Linked DNA regions of Drosophila melanogaster. The protein of the gene in region 3 interacts with the protein of the main gene of each other region in a biochemical or structural test. Each region holds a gene or a part of one and is shown on either strand. Other genes may lie near its edges.

The links.
Region 1: the proteins of Trl (region 3) and dre4 form a complex in vitro, tested with the Drosophila melanogaster proteins (one study listed by BioGRID).
Region 2: the proteins of Trl (region 3) and Ssrp form a complex in vitro, tested with the Drosophila melanogaster proteins (one study listed by BioGRID).

Annotation. Positions count from the first base shown.
Region 1 is NT_037436.4:1,871,071-1,878,033, forward strand, and holds dre4 (dre4), read right to left. Parts: upstream 5,243-6,963; 5' UTR 5,109-5,242; coding exon 5,040-5,108; intron 4,846-5,039; coding exon 4,582-4,845; intron 4,517-4,581; coding exon 4,217-4,516; intron 4,149-4,216; coding exon 2,971-4,148; intron 2,914-2,970; coding exon 2,047-2,913; intron 1,993-2,046; coding exon 1,730-1,992; intron 1,666-1,729; coding exon 1,512-1,665; intron 1,401-1,511; coding exon 1,284-1,400; intron 848-1,283; coding exon 691-847; 3' UTR 504-690; downstream 1-503. Other genes in the region: CG13924 (uncharacterized protein), read left to right, coding at 1-494; CG13937 (uncharacterized protein), read right to left, coding at 5,618-5,711, 5,778-6,115, 6,221-6,376, 6,448-6,592, 6,691-6,757, 6,822-6,963. UniProt on the Drosophila melanogaster protein: Component of the FACT complex, a general chromatin factor that acts to reorganize nucleosomes. The FACT complex is involved in multiple processes that require DNA as a template such as mRNA elongation, DNA replication and DNA repair.
Region 2 is NT_033778.4:23,805,734-23,810,662, reverse strand, and holds Ssrp (structure specific recognition protein), read left to right. Parts: upstream 1-1,658; 5' UTR 1,659-1,799; coding exon 1,800-1,853; intron 1,854-1,930; coding exon 1,931-3,502; intron 3,503-3,562; coding exon 3,563-4,108; 3' UTR 4,109-4,302; downstream 4,303-4,929. Other genes in the region: CG5543 (uncharacterized protein), read right to left, coding at 1-1,304; CG5539 (uncharacterized protein), read right to left, coding at 4,834-4,929; CG13561 (uncharacterized protein), read left to right, coding at 4,414-4,467, 4,528-4,683. UniProt on the Drosophila melanogaster protein: Component of the FACT complex, a general chromatin factor that acts to reorganize nucleosomes. The FACT complex is involved in multiple processes that require DNA as a template such as mRNA elongation, DNA replication and DNA repair.
Region 3 is NT_037436.4:14,754,934-14,759,800, reverse strand, and holds the start of Trl (Trithorax-like), read left to right. Parts: upstream 1-1,838; 5' UTR 1,839-1,959; exon of another isoform or gene 1,960-2,317; intron 2,318-2,464; exon of another isoform or gene 2,465-2,470; 5' UTR 2,471-2,705; coding exon 2,706-2,897; intron 2,898-4,867. UniProt on the Drosophila melanogaster protein: Transcriptional activator that functions by regulating chromatin structure. Overcomes the repressive effects of chromatin by promoting the open chromatin conformation in promoter gene regions, thereby allowing access to other transcription factors.

The DNA.
Region 1 (6,963 bases), about 13 Mb from region 3:
CCACTCTATCCTCTGCCTCCGCTTCCACGACGTCTCCTTCGGTGCGGATGAACTACAAGATCTGCTGCGAGCACCGGCATTCGATTCAGGGCAAGCTACCCAGGTACACGGGCTACATGTCCGAGTACGGACTGACTGCCCAGCAACTGCAGCGGCGCGACCAGCAACTGCGGCGGAAGCAGCGCTTCTCCATGGAGCAGACCATCAATCGCAACGAGCAGGAGCTGAAGAAGATGCAGGACAACGAGCGCGCCTTCACCACCTGGCTGAAGAACAAGATGCGCTATCCGATCAACAAGACCCGCAACATGTTCGATGCGCACAAAAGGCGGGGTAGTGTGGCCGCCGCCGGAAGTCCGCGCCAGCATCCCCAAGCTCATCCGCATCTGCACCAGGAGCAGGAGCAGCGCGGCGGACGGCGAAGGCGGCGGCGCGACAGCGGGGAAGTGGAGGTGCACGCCTATCGGCATCTGCTCGGCAGCTGGAACAAGTAGGAGTAATGTAGTTCTTACATTAGTTTATTATATTAATGTATCGTATTATATTTAATTTGTAATACAACTTTTGAAGCGTGACAAAAATGAGTGACGGGGGATTGGGGTGGCGGGTCCTTTAACAGATAGACAATGGTAACAGGAGAGCTAGATTACGAACGGAGTGCCACACAGGCTTGGCGACAGGAACAGCTCCCTAATGTCGCGACTTCTTCGACTTGTGCCCATTGTCGCGACTGTCATCCCGCGAGCGCTTGCGATCCTTGTCCTTGCTGCTGCTCTTGTTTCCGGACGATGAGGAGGAATGATGCTTGTCCCGGCTGTTGTACTTGTCCTTCGACGACTTCGACGGGCTTTAAAATAATCAAGGGAATTTGGAAATGTGTTAAAAGAAATTTCACAAATAATTACTCCTCTGTGGTTATCAATTTTGAGCAAGCGAGTTATGATGCTGTTCTTTTTTTTTCTTTCTTTTTATCAATTTTGCCAGACTGAACAATCATAAATAATTCAACATAAACCCAAACAGAAAGTGGTTGTAAACGGATGGAATTTGGGGTATCCCTATCCAAAACTTGCCAAGCCAACACCAGAAATAAATAATATCAACAAAAAATAACTCTTAAAAACGTCCAATTGCTTGGTTTTTTGTTCCACCAAAGAAGAAAATCAAATTTATAACGAAACTTCCAGTGTGTAATGGTTTGTGAGTGAAAAATGATATGTGAAATGCACTTGCGTTAGGCCGTATGGTTGGGTATTAAGTGTTCGGGGCTTTCGATAACAAACCTAGATGAGCTGCCATGTTTGGAGCTGGAGGACTTTAAATGCGAAGAGGACGAGGAGGAGTTCGACTTGTGCTTTTTACTGTGCGACGACGATCGAGCCTCCTCGCGGTCGCGGCGACTGTGGTGGACGTAAAATGTTGTAGAACGATTGATATAGATAAGAGAAAGGAGATCTCGGATAAGGTAACCCTTAATGGAAACCCGTCCATGATGGGATCGTGGCTCATACCTGTGCTTTGAACTCTTGCCGTGCTTCTTCGAATCGAATTTGCCGTTGCGTGGTTTGTCATCTGCGGCATAATCGTGGTTGCGGTCTTCCTCAGCAGCCTCGCGCTCCAGATCGGACCAATCCTTGCCAGATTCCTCATCAGAGCCAAGGTCCTCTGTAAATTATGATGAAAATATTAACCAACTAGAAGATATGGAATGTTTTGGGTTTGTGCATACCATCGCTTTCCTCGCTGTCTTCTGATGCCTCTGAGTACTCGGAATCTTCGTCCGACTCCTCATCCGATTCGGCGTCGGTGGGATTGTAGGCCTCGTCCTCTTCGGATTCGGCGGTTTCGTTTTCGCCTTCGCTGCCCGATTCCGGGTCCAAGAATGTCCAGCCGCCTTGTTCAAAGAATCCCTCAGGATCGTCGGTGATGGTCTTCATGATCTTTTGCCAGTTCAGGGATTGAACACCCTCCGAATAGCGGATGTCGCAGGAGCTACAGGATACTCATTAGTAAAAGTGCATTTTGCAAATGGGCAGATGAACTTACTTGAGCCACTCCTTCACGTGATCCAGCATGTTCATAGGAATGGCGTTCACCATGGCAACCTTCTTATTGTACTCCTTGAACACAAATATCATATCGAAGTTGCGCAAGTGGAACTGAACGCGCTCGAAGTGCACCAACTCCACATCGTCCAGCGTGATGACAAATGGTGGCCATTCCGTCAGATTGACCAGGGAGCCCGAGGTGGGTTGCAGCGTCACCGTGCTGCGGAAGGGTGCTCCAGGGAATCCCAACTCACGGAACGGCGTGTCGAACTCCACTACCGACTTGGTCATGGTTTCCACCTTCTCGCAGAAGCTCTTGAAGGCAGTCTTGAGCTTGTGCCGCAGCTCACGTTCTGCCTGCTCAGCAGCCAAGTCGTCGCGGTCGTGCATGTGCTGGTGCTTGCCCAGATCCGTGGTGATCTCTCCCACTTCCGTGTAGAACTGTACATCCACGTGCTTCTTTTTGCCAAACATAATGGCGTACTTCAGGTGGAAATGCAGAAGAATGATCATCTCGCCATCGCAGGGCTGGAAAAACGCGCTTTTGATGTTGTTGTACAAGATGTCCACCTTGTCGCCGCGCACGGAGATGTAGCGGAATCCATTGCTGTGCGCTTCCAGGCTGCCCGTCATGCGCTTGGTCACGATGTTGGGCCGAATGTATAGGTCCTTCAGCTTGGGATTACCCTTGTTCTGGGACAGAATGAGTGTGTCTTGCTTCACAAGATCCTCCTTTTCGCGCTCCTCAGCCTCGCGGGTCTTGAAGCGCTTCTGCACCTCCTTGATCAGCCGGAAAGCATTGTTTAGATTTGCGGATGGAGCTCCCACCTCCCCGTGTTCCTTAACATTAGAGCTGCGGTATGTACTGCAGGAAAAGTGTCTAGTTAGTGCATTCCTTAAGCAGATTTCGCACTATACTTACACTTCCTTGACAAATGTGGCCTCTGGCTGAGGATAGAGTCCGCCTTCGTTGCGACCCATTGTGGCGCCGGGATGAAAGAAGTTGATACGCAAGTACGTGTACTCGCCCTCCACCGACTGCGAGATGTTCTTGATGGTGGATATATGGAACGGCACCTGGATGCCGAACACTGGCATGATGACGGTCTCGTACTTCTTATCCACGTAAAGCTTGAGCTCCTTGACTTCCGGCTCGCGCGGCATTTGGCTGATGGACTTGTAGGAGACGGTGTTCTTGCGCACTTTCTCGACCTCCTTCGAGTTTCCCTGCCTGGCCAGCCGATCCTTGGCGCGCTCGTTCAGCTGCTGAGCCAGCTCGCGCTGGTGCTCCTTGCGCTTCTCCTCCGTGTTGATCTCGTTTCGCAGCTTTGACTCCAGCACCGCGTTGCGCTTGCTGCGGCCCAGGATCTCGGTGCCCTGATCTTCTTTAGCGGTCTTCTTGTCGTCCACATCTTCCTCGTCGCTGTCGTCCTTGATAAAGATGCCGACGTTCTTGATCTTCTTCTTGGACGGAGTCATCACACTGGCTGGGGATTGTTCGCCTACTAGCACAGTGTCTCCGATGAAGAGGGCGTAGTTCTTGCCCTCTTTGTCGGTGGCTTCGGGATTGGTCAGATTCGAGATGCCCACGTGCAAATTAAAGACCATATTCTTCTTGAGTAGCGCCTGGCATTTGGGTCCGATGACAATGGAGTTCTCCCGGAACTCTAGGCCCATGGCGAAACCAAAGCTTTTGGGCAGATTGTCCACCATACTCGGCTTCTCCTTCTTCACGAAGTCCAGGGTCTTTTCGTAGACGTCGCACAGCTTTGTGCCCGGAACCAGCAGCTTGAGAATCTCCTCCTGCACACTTACCAGAAATGTGTAGTTCTCCTGCATGGCCTCGGTGGGATTCACCAGAAAGGTGCGCGATATATTTGAGCAATACGACTTGTAGCGGGCGCCCAAGGAGCACACAATCACACCGAAGTGCAAGGGATTTTTGTCCGCCACCGCGGAGAACTTCAGGCTGTAGGCTCCTCCCGATTGGATGATGGGTGGGTAGGCCATATCGAGGAGTCTGGGATCCAGACCACTGGTGTACTTCTTCTCGCCAATGGCAGCCTCGCAGCCATCTGAGAGCTTGTTGTGTTTGACTTTCTAAAAAGGAGGTTAAAAAGGTTAATATATTAGGAAAACACATAATATTATAGCCGCCAGGTGCTCACCCTATCCGAATCAATAATGTCCATGATCTCATCTTTCAAATACTTGTTGAAAATGTCCATTGACACTAGCGATGCCTTGCGTATGTTGTTGATCTCCGACTCATCCTTGGGACACATGAGGTAGGCGATAATAGTGCTAATGTCCACATGCTCGAACTTGGACGCCGTCAGGGATTTCTTCCATGCTTCGCTGAACTCCCCGGGATAGGCGTCCTTGGCGAAGACGCCCAAACGCTTGCCCTTCTTCGAGTTTTGCAGGGCTTTGATGAGCTTCTCGAAGTTGCCCTGGTCCTTGTCCGTCTTCTCGAAGTCAAGATCAGAAAGGATTAGAGAACTTTTGGCCTGGAGCAGAAATCGAAACTCACCCGATCCCTAACAAGCAGATTGATTTCCGGAAAACCTTCTTCGGTGATGTTCTGCGTCTGCTTCAGGAATTCTATTTTCTTTTTGCTAGTGAGAAAATACACGGCATCCGAGCAAAACACTGAGATGGTGTCCGTCAGCTCGTAGCCCAGCAGCCAGAGCTGCAGGGCCATGGACTTGGAGTACATGACATCCTCTTCGACGCCCACGATGCTCATGATGCAGTCCAGATTCCTGAGCGCGTCATCGTGTCCGATGCTGGGAGCCTGCGAAAGACAAAGAGTCCGATATTATTATGCAGTAATCCTCTTTTCCCCAAACAACCTGGTCTATGGGTAATTAATTTCACCACATCTCCCAATCTTTCATTATCGTGACCCGTCTGCAGAGTCTCCACGTGCTCCCCGGTGCTCCTGCGGCCCCAAAAACACGCAGATCGCCGACCGGCGGACAGACTCACCCTCCATTCCGTGTAGAGGCGTTTCACGCGGCGCACGAACGCCTCCTTGTCCAGCACAAAGCTCGACATATTGCCGCCGGATTTGTTACTGTGTATGCGTTAACTCCGCTTAAAATGCGCTAAACGCCAGAAATTGCATTTGCAAATTCCGCCGGATAAAAAAATTGCGCGGCGACCAGATGAAGAAGAAGCAGAATAAGCGTCAGCTCGACGTGAGTGAGACCGCTCTCAAAAATACCGTAATATACCAGTTGTCAATGTAAAAATAGTGTAACCAAGCAACAGTACAGACACGTCTAGCAGGGACTCGAACCATATATGAACATTTTACGCGCTAAAAATTGGTGCACTGAAAAAAATGTTTAAAACTGGATTTAATTAAAAATGTGTCTCGCCAAAAATACATTTTTACATTAAATAAAAGACTTTGGCACAGGCTTCGTTTAAATATAGCTAATTTTATTATTGTTTTCTTCAGTATTATCAACATTTGCAATTACGTACTGTGACGGCTAATATGTGAGTTCGTTGAACTTGATTCATTGGTTTTTAGCAAAGTCTAAGAATTCAGAGCTAGTTTAATTCTTTGTGCCCGCCGGACTTTCGGCCTCATCCGGCCGGGCAACCTGCAGATACTCCTGGATATCGTAGTCGAACAGCTCGAAGTCGTATCTGTGGGGAGGAATTTTAACTTGTAAGTATGCTACCATAATCTAAAAATTTAAATGGATGACCCACTTGTAATACTCGTAGAGCTCCAGCATTTCCTGGCGTGTCAGCTGCGCATAGAACTGCTGCTGGAGCTCGTGCGTCTTGCGGCCCTTGCCCATGTTGCGCCACACGGGCGCTATCACCCGCTTGAGGCCAGTCTTTTCGATTAGATATAATTGATCCTCCGCCAGCGATTCGAACTTCAGTATCATGTCGAACCGGATGAGGCAGGGTGTGCAGAACGAGGTGGCCGCCACGAAGTGCATGTCGATGAAGCTGCCGCGCTTCACCTGGTCGAGCAGCCAGTGCACGAATTCCGGAAACGATGGGAACTTTGTGTTGGCCGCACGGGCAGCCAGTGACGGCTATTGGATAAAATACAATGTATTAGATGCATTCGATGCGTATACTTGATATTGCTATTGCAACAATATCGTGTATACGCAGTGGGTTACAGTCGAAATGCTTACCTTCTTGCGGTAGTTGCGCACAATGCTGCGTCCCAACTTATCGTGGAAGGAGTAGGGCAGGGCGAACACCATCTTGTCCCGATAGGCACTCAACAGCCGCTCGAAGGGATCGCGTGCGATGATAAAGGTCACCGAGTAGTTCTGTGCCTCACGCAGCTGTCGCCCGAAATAGAAAGAGTTTAATTTAGGTTTGAGGAAGGGGATTAAGAACTCCTTTCGAGACGCACCTCGTCGAGGGTCACCCTGGGATAGCGCTCCCTGGCCAGGTTGAGAAGGATCTTCTTGGTTTTGCGCAGATAGCTGGGCGAGTAACCGGCCAGGACGTTGAAGTTGAACATCCAGGACGATGAGGCAGCCTTAAAGACATTGCACCTGCACGGAAAATAAATAGTAAGTTAAGATCCTATTTGTCAAATCCGAATGACACACTAAAATGGAATCGTTGAAGAGTGAATAAAGGGCACACCCACCAGATAATGTGATACTTTTTGTTGACCAAAAATTCCCACGTGTTCGGCGTGTGCCACGCGTCGTGACCTGTAAATAAAACACAAGCGATCAGACCCCAATCCATTTGGCGAATCCAAAGCGAAGGACCCACCCAGGACATCCAGGCCGTAGGCGGAGCACTTGTCCTTTAGCCGCTCCCTGCGCTGGTCCATCCGCTGCTCCACCTGGAGCATTTCCTGCGGCGTGAGTGTCTGCACGGCATGCTCGGGGATGAGGGGCAGGAGTGTCTGGTT
Region 2 (4,929 bases), on a different chromosome or scaffold from region 3:
TCTGGACTAAAGCAGCAATCTGTTGTGTCGTAGCGGGAGAACAGGTTTGTCCAGGTATGCAGCGGCTGTTTGAACTGCCGCAGATCCCAAAGCTTCATGGTCTCGTCGTTGCTGCGAGTGGCCAACTGCTGACCCATGTACGAGAACACAATGGAGGTGATCTCCGAACCCTTCTGATGCGCATCCCTGACGCAGTGCGTGGTGTTCACAAACATCTTGCGCGTGTCCCACGTCTGAATGGAACCATCCACGCAGCCCGCTGCTATGAGTGTGGCGTCCCTGTTAAAGTTGCATGATGCTGCGTTGGTGCGGAGGCCTCCCTGCGCCCTTGTCTTGATCACCTGCAACTGTTCCTTGGACTTCAATCCCTGCCAGATGCGCAGAGTACCGTCGAGAGCTGCGGTCAGGAACTGCTCCCTGTTAAATGGATGCCAGCAGCCGGAGGTCAACTGTGCCACGTGGCCCTTGGTGCGCGACATGTCCGAGATATACTGGTCGCCCTTGCAGCACTCCAGTTTCTCGAATCCATCGCGGTCGAGGACCTTGGCCTGGGCGTTTCCGGAGATGACCAGGATCATGTCGCCGGTCACGGAGTACTGGAGAGAACGTATGGGATGGTTCTCGCACGGCTGCAGTTGCCGGAAGCTACGCATGCTCGAGTCCATGCCGGCGAAATCCCAGAAGCACATATCGTAGTCTATGGAACCAGAGACCAAGCGGGCACCCGAGGGATCGCCAGCCAGGGCAAGGACAGCGCGGGAACCGTGCTGCATCTGCACCTCGTGTGTGTAGGGTATGCGCTTAGCAAGGCTTTGTTCGTCATCTGAATCTTCATCGGACGAATAATCATCGTCATCGGAGTCTTCGTCTTTGGACGATTCCTTCGTGGCTTTCTCCTTGTCTGTGGTCACAGCTGGTGGTAGGGGACCTATTACGTCCTCCTCTTCCTCGTCTTTCTGGTCATCCTCCTTCGGCTTGGACTCCTCCCTTTTTTTGTCCATTCCCGGGCGGGTAACTCTCGCCTTTTCTATCTGCTCGTTGATGTCGAACACCTTGGCCGCCTTGCGACCAAAGCCACTGATGCCCATCACTTCCTTGAGGTGCTGGCTCTCCAGATCTTCGGCCACGTCCTCGATCTGCCGAATCATCTGCTCCTTGTCCATTTTCTTGAATCCTCCGCCATTTCCGCTGGCTTCAGTGGACTCCTTTGCATCTTCCGCCTCGGTTTCGTTGGATCTTGGCTCCGCAGGAGGTACGTTTACATTCAGTTTGATTTTCCCGAAGGAAATTTTACCGCGTTGCATAGTTTTAAGGCCCCACGCTAAGTGGATTTTCAAATTTTTAATTAAAACTATATTTCTCTGAAAATATGCGGTAAATATTTTGTAAACAAGTGAATTAAGTGACCGTTTATATTCGGACTGTCAATTTGGTATTTTAAAAGATCGAGCGAATTGTTATGGTCTTTAAATAAGCTCTGGCTTGCCCATTAAAATTTTTCAATTTAATAATGACTCATATATTGTTCATGTATTGCAAACAAGATATATATAAACAATAAAGGAAACTGCATTGGAATATTAAGAGTTTATATCGATTGCAATTTAAGAATAGTGCACTCAAAAATACTAAACACACATACGGTCACTCTAATATAGCTGACTGGCGTCTAACCTAAAATTAGGCGCGCAGTGTTGTTTTGTGTCTGCCGGAATTATTGTAAATTGGTGACAATTTCGCAAGGCGGCGTAATACATAGTTGATCTATTATCTTGTTACTGGAGAGGAAGAAGTGCAGGATGACAGACTCTCTGGAGTACAACGACATAAACGCCGAAGTGCGCGGAGTCTTGGTGAGTCGCAAAAAAGCCGGCGTATTTTGTCACATTTCGCATGACCGAGGTTTTCCATTTCCCTGCGCGCAAAAAAGTGTTCCGGACGCCTAAAGATGACCGAGCAGAACATCATCTTCAAGAACACCAAGACCGGCAAGGTGGAGCAGATCTCGGCAGAGGACATAGACCTGATCAATTCGCAGAAGTTCGTGGGCACCTGGGGACTGAGGGTGTTCACCAAAGGCGGCGTGCTCCACCGCTTCACCGGATTCCGCGACAGCGAGCACGAGAAGCTGGGCAAGTTTATCAAGGCTGCCTACTCGCAGGAGATGGTCGAGAAGGAGATGTGCGTCAAGGGCTGGAACTGGGGCACCGCCCGCTTCATGGGCTCCGTCCTGAGCTTCGACAAGGAGTCGAAGACCATCTTCGAGGTGCCGCTGTCGCACGTTTCGCAGTGCGTGACCGGCAAGAACGAGGTCACCCTGGAGTTCCACCAAAACGACGATGCGCCCGTGGGTCTACTGGAGATGCGGTTCCACATACCCGCCGTGGAGTCGGCCGAGGAGGATCCGGTAGACAAGTTCCACCAGAACGTAATGAGCAAGGCCTCGGTCATCTCGGCTTCGGGCGAGTCCATCGCCATTTTCAGAGAGATCCAGATCCTCACGCCTCGCGGTCGCTATGACATCAAGATCTTCTCGACCTTCTTCCAGCTGCACGGCAAGACGTTCGACTACAAGATTCCCATGGACTCGGTGCTGCGGCTCTTCATGCTGCCCCACAAAGACAGTCGACAGATGTTCTTTGTGCTCTCCTTGGATCCGCCCATCAAGCAGGGACAAACGCGTTACCACTACCTGGTCCTGCTGTTTGCTCCCGATGAGGAGACCACCATTGAGCTGCCATTCTCGGAAGCCGAGTTGCGAGACAAGTACGAGGGCAAGCTGGAGAAAGAGATCTCCGGGCCGGTGTACGAGGTGATGGGCAAAGTGATGAAGGTGCTGATCGGTCGAAAAATTACCGGACCCGGTAACTTTATCGGACACTCTGGCACGGCTGCAGTGGGCTGCTCGTTCAAGGCTGCAGCTGGATATCTGTATCCCCTGGAGCGAGGATTCATCTATATCCACAAGCCACCGCTGCATATCCGCTTTGAGGAGATTAGTTCTGTGAACTTTGCCCGCAGCGGCGGATCCACGCGATCTTTCGACTTCGAAGTGACGCTCAAGAACGGAACTGTTCACATCTTCTCCTCCATCGAGAAGGAGGAGTATGCCAAGCTCTTCGACTACATCACACAGAAGAAGTTGCATGTCAGCAACATGGGCAAGGACAAGAGCGGCTACAAGGACGTGGACTTTGGTGATTCGGACAACGAGAACGAACCAGATGCCTATCTGGCTCGCCTCAAGGCTGAGGCGAGGGAAAAGGAGGAGGACGACGACGATGGCGACTCGGATGAAGAGTCCACGGATGAGGACTTCAAGCCCAACGAGAACGAGTCCGATGTGGCCGAGGAGTATGACAGCAACGTGGAGAGTGATTCGGACGATGACAGCGATGCTAGTGGCGGCGGAGGCGACAGCGACGGCGCCAAGAAAAAGAAGGAGAAGAAGTCCGAGAAGAAAGAGAAAAAGGAGAAAAAACACAAGGAGAAGGAGAGAACAGTGAGTAATGTTTGCTTATTATTATAGCTTATGGTAACATGTTTTTATATGTTTTTATAGAAGAAACCCTCCAAGAAGAAGAAGGACTCTGGCAAACCCAAGCGCGCCACCACCGCTTTCATGCTCTGGCTGAACGACACGCGCGAGAGCATCAAGAGGGAAAATCCGGGCATAAAGGTTACCGAGATCGCCAAGAAGGGCGGCGAGATGTGGAAGGAGCTGAAGGACAAGTCCAAGTGGGAGGATGCGGCGGCCAAGGACAAGCAGCGCTACCACGACGAGATGCGCAACTACAAGCCTGAAGCGGGCGGTGACAGCGACAACGAGAAGGGTGGAAAGTCCTCCAAGAAGCGCAAGACGGAGCCTTCTCCATCCAAGAAGGCGAATACCTCGGGCAGCGGCTTCAAGAGCAAGGAGTACATTTCGGACGACGACTCCACCAGCTCCGACGACGAGAAGGACAACGAGCCTGCCAAGAAGAAGAGCAAGCCCCCATCCGACGGCGATGCCAAGAAGAAAAAGGCCAAGAGCGAGAGCGAACCGGAGGAGAGCGAGGAGGACAGCAATGCCAGCGATGAGGATGAGGAAGATGAGGCCAGTGATTAGGGCCATAAACACAACAAATCAATTCCATAAACACACACCACGCTCCTCACACACCCATGTCCCAAATCTAGTTTACATTCGCCTAGTTTAGTTAAGTGCTGCCTGTTGGATACAGACCCATACGTTTTTGTTTAATTAAAACTCAACAACAATTCGAAAGTTCAAGTAATTAAACAGAATTGATAATTGCCCGTAATGATTGATATCTATCGATTATGGTTTCGCTTGACTGGCTTTTGCCACTTTCGTCAACATTATAATGCCACAGTTTGCCAGTTTTTAATGGCTCTTTGGTGAACTTAGTGATGGCCACGTTGACAGAGTTATTCCTCTTGTTTGGGCTGTGGCACATTTTGCAGGCAAGTTCGACCGTAAGCTAGGCCGGCTGGGATTATGAACCGAACACTAGCTCACTTCAGGTCCAAGGAGTTGCCAAGTTCACAAACATCGAGTGCCTGAGTGCGGACGAAAACTTCACCACCGTTTCCCTGTGCCGATTGTACGCCGTAAAGAGGGATGTCGTCGAAATGAGTCTGCGGGCCAACATCCTGCGATGGCCAAAAGGTCCGGTATCGGTGAGTTAGTTTGCAAAGCTAGGGCGTTCCTGAATGCCATAGTTGAATAGCTATCTATAGTAGAAAATGCGAGTCCAAAACACTAGTAATTAAACAACTTGAAACCTATCCATGCCTAAAACCAATTTATGTTTTGAATTAATGAAATAACTATAAACCTGTTTGAGGTTTCACAAATGATTGTGCTAAAAGACGGCGACGGCTGGCCGGTTGACGCTGCTGACGCACTTCCTGGCCGCTGGTCTC
Region 3 (4,867 bases):
TGTTTTCAACAAATTTGTGCTGAATTCTTCATGTTTTGCGTTCGTTTCAAGTATATTCAGTTTTTTTTAATAGAAACAACGTGATAAGGCGCGGTGGGGAAGGCCAGGCAAAAGTCGTGCCGCGCCGTTCGAATTTCAAACAGTCGAGCTGGCGCACGGTGGGACAAAAGCGTTGTTTAAAAGTTTTAATGTTTTAAAGTTTCATACATTTTAATAAAATACAAAAATTTAATTTGAAAATCTTTAACTAACGTACGGCCAAACGCACTATAAAAACTAGCCAATGGAAAAAATAGTCCAGTAACGCTTATACAATTTGTTTACAAAAACCAGTTATACAATGTATTCCAAAATTTTACATAGTAATTCTATTCCTACCACTTATGTTTTGTATCCCACTGTGCTTGGTTTGCACTCATTCCTCCACCTCTGCCGAGTCACCCACCACCAACACCCCCCAGCGCGCACGCTCTCCCTCATTCTCACATCATGCTCCGTTGGTTGGTATTGCCAGCTACGAAACATGAAACATGCTCACTGCTTTAACGCCGATTGGAACTTTAAAGGGGCATTTCGAACGGCATTTCTCATGGCCCCTTCCCTGCCCAGCAGCATCATAACAGAGAAAATTGTAATCTTAAAAATTTGGACACTCGCTCACTTTATATTACTTTCTTCTCTGAGCGTTGGCTAGAAGTGCCACTCTCCTTCTCCTTCAATTCCAAATTCGACTAACTTCCCTATCGCGGGGTCTCTCCGCTCTTAAGCTGGACTTGATCTGCATACGAGAATGAGACTGGCTATATGTTTTTACCCCGTAGGGTCTCGGTCTCTGAGATGTGTCAAAAGTAACAGGTGATTGGATTGGATTCGAAAGGAGAGAGGAGAGTTAGAGACAGGGGAAAGAGAATGTAGAGCGTAAGAGCGAACCGGCTTTTCTACCATTTGTTATTATTACTTTCACAGGATCTGTTAATATTTCGGAACCGAAGAGAAACCCAGTCCCGATACATGTCTATTTTAATCTAAACCTATCAGATTCTTTTGATTCCTGTGTAACCCTCAGTAGCATTACACTTGTTCCCAGAAAAATGGAATCTGGTATCTTAAAAAGAAAACTGAAAGTAATTTATTCTGAACCCAATACCCTTCTAGATTTTGGTGATCAAACATAATAAATTGTTAGATTAGGGACTCGTTCTACGAAAATCTGCTTATCGATTTAATCATAGCTAATGTTGGAATTTATTTTTAATACAATTGCTCGATACCTTAGCTAGAATAATTCAAAAACGTTCTGAATTGTTTATCCTTCATTTTTAAACTGTAAAATTTGAGCTTATTCAGAGTGGAGTAGTATAAGAAAATGTTGAATATTTTGATACCGGATCCGATAGTTATAGAACCGGAACCTACGGATCCCGTTGACCTTTTTCTTATCGCACTCTGATATTCCAACCGGTCGGACACATGTGTTTTTCATCCGTGAAGTCGGCCCAGAATATTTCCATCATTCAATATTTACCACCTTTTATAGTTTTGTTTACTATCTTGCCGACTTTTTTGTCTTGCCGTCTTGCTCTCCTCTCCATCCTAAAAATACTCTTCCTGCGCTCCATCTGGCAATGCCGCTCGACAACTGTACTTCAAAGAGCGTTGCCAGGCAGGTCACTTCTCTCATAGATACACAGATACAGGCGCGCACGCACACCAGCACGCAAAATAACCACCACCAGCAGTACAGAAATTACACATTTTCTCCCCGAGTAGAGAACTGAAAAACTGGCCGCGCTGGCAGCGCCGGAGCAGCGAAATTCGATCGAAACCATTTACTCAGTCTCAGTTCGAGTTATCCAACGTTGGCGAGCGGACAAACAAGCAGGAGAAAAAAGCGTACGGGCAAGAGAAAGAGAAGGCACAAAATCACCCACAGCCACTGAAATTTTCTTTTGCGCTCCGGTGAGAAGATAATTTCACAAACCAAAACCGAACCAACAAACAAAAAAAGTGCGCTCCGTGAGCGGGAAAACAATAACAAAATCAAGAGACATGCGATTATAAAACGAACAAAATAACTGAGTGACAAAAAAAAATTAAATGCGTGTCTCATGGCTTGACTGTACTGTGTATTAAAAAATGTGATTGTGTCGGCTGTCCGTCTGTCTGAGTTTGTGCGCGTGTGTGTGCTGTTGGCGTTTTTAAATGTGGCGCGCTATTTTTGTGTGATTTTTGTGGGCAGCAACGAATTTTGAAACATCAATTGTATACTAGTTGTCAGTCCCCTTGTGAAAAAGTCTTCTCCAACAACAAAATTCCTGTGAGCAGCCTACACACATGCGTTGTCTCGCTCTCGCGCGCTCTGGCCCCCAAAGAGTGCGAGAGCGGGAGAGTGAGACCGAGAAAGAGAGAGAGAGAGAGAGAGCTAATAACTAACGTCTGTACTCTTTTTCTTTTCCATTTTTCATTTCAGTTTCGAGAAAGCAGCGCGCCAAGCAGCAAGAAGAGGAAGAGCAAAGGGAGTTGGAAAAGCAGTGGCGTCGTGGAGGAGGAGTAGAAAGGGGATTTTTGCGAAAAATCCCAACTTGAAGAGAATTTTCCCCGTAACCGTTAAACATTAAATCGTCGTGTTGGAGACAAATAGCAGCGAATACGCTAGCAACGCTGGGGAGGAACAACAATTGTTGGATTTGGACGCGACCGCTTTGATGTCGCTGCCAATGAATTCGCTGTATTCGCTCACCTGGGGCGATTACGGCACCAGCCTCGTATCGGCAATCCAATTGTTGCGCTGCCATGGCGACCTCGTCGATTGCACGTTGGCCGCCGGCGGGCGGAGTTTTCCCGCCCACAAGATAGTCCTGTGCGCCGCCTCCCCCTTTCTGCTGGACTTGCTAAAGGTAAGTGCTCGGTTCGGAAACACTGCCTAAAACACCTTTCAATAAGAGAGCTTGTACATAACCTCAAACGTTTCGTACAGTTTGTAAACAGAGAAATCCAATCGCAGAAATAGGTTAATGTTTGGAGCGCAGAGAAACTGACACTCGCACGCAAATGCATACATATGTATAAATAACGCAGATTTACGCTCCGCTCCAAAAGTTGTCTAGAGATTTTTGTACAAGTTTTCCACTGTCAATTGAGTTGAATGAGTGGCTCCGCCCCCCGCATTCCCGCCGTCTATCTTGCTTATCAGCTTTTTCTTGTTGCAAAGTTCACCGGAGAACGAGAGAGTGAGACGTAGAGACAGAGCGCAGACAGAGAGGGAGAGAGCGAGAGAACCAGTTGGTTCGGTCGACAGAAAAGTGGTTTTGGGCCCGGTGGTGTAACAGAGAGGGGAGAGCCGAAAGCTGGTGCGCCAACTTTTAAATCGCATGTGTTAGAGCGAGCGCAAACGAGAGCGCCAAAAGCAGCGCGGCAACTGTTGTAGTTGTTGGATGGTTGGAGCTTTCGTCTTGCCTTTTGGTTCTTGCTGTTGTTGGGTGCACACGAGCGCGACCTCTTTCTTCACAGACAGAACTGTACAGTTGGCTCTGGCTAGGGGGAACTTGAAATATTGGGGGGAATATGGATACATATACAAAGATAATTAAAATTAAATTTGTATTGATTGGTTTGATTTCCTTAACCCATTTCCTAAGCTAAGTCTTTTGTATTTTGTATGTCACCATTTTAGATTGCTAGATTGATTGTCTAACAGCAAACTTCGCTCAATTAAAAGTTCCTGGACTTTAATAGACTTATCTACTTCAAATCTTTATTTAAACTTATAACATAGTGACCAAGTCCAGATTGTACCAAAGATAAGCAAGCCTGTCTGGTGCGCTTCCCTCGTATCGAATCCAACCCGTATTTCTATAAACTAAAGCATTTCATATTAGGAAGGCGCACTTTTAAATGGAGCTTGCAAGTTTTTTCATGAGCTGTATTGCGATACTGTACTTTTTAACAACTCATTTGCACTTTAACTTTGACGCTTTTCCGCCACTCTGTCGATTGTTCAAAGTGTGCGCTTAAGTATGAAAGTTGGACCGTCTTCAATGCGTGGCCCTATCGTAATGGAAATACTGACCAAAACAGAGCGCGGCCAGCGAAATGAAAACACCTGATGCGACGCCGACAGCGGCTACTCTGCGCTTCGCTCCCCCTTATTCTCAGCGCTCCTCATCTCTCCTCTCCTTTTCTGGGCCGTGAAAAAGTAAACAGAGCGAAATTTTTGAAAACGCCGCTCAGAGCCGTCGTGGGGAAATGTCAAAGAAAAAAAAAAAAAAACAAAAAGAACGGGACCAATGCGGCTGTGAACTCTGCAAGAGTCCGAAAAGTACAAGATGTACTGATCTCGTTACACTCACACACGCACGCAAAAACACATGGCGGTCGCTCTTTGTTGCTCTTGCTCCCTCTCCCTTGCTCCTACGGCAAATGGAATGCAACTCTGAAAAATCGATGAGCGAGACTTTGGTTGGAGGCAGAGTTCAAAGAGCGCAAATGGGAGTGCGGTGAGATGTGTCATTTCAAGAGATTGGCATTGGATGAAGGGAGGGTGTTGGTTGGTGAGTCCGTAAATGGAGAGGGGTTGTTTTCTGAGCAATGCTATATAATTAAATGTTTGGAGCGGGAGCGGGAGCGGGAGAGGACACAGAAGAAGAACAGCTAAGCGCTCTTTCTTTAAGCGCTGCTCTGTTTTCTTTTTCAGCATCTGAAATCTCAAAATCCTGCTGCAGAATGTGCAGAGCGCGCAAAAGTAAAAGCCGGTTGTCTTTTGTCTGTGTCACTGTGTGCGTGAGCGGAGGAGAGTGTGAGCGACGCGTCGCACCGCGAGTTTCCATTATTTCCATCTCCGTCCGACTGTTTTTGTTATTGTTTTTAT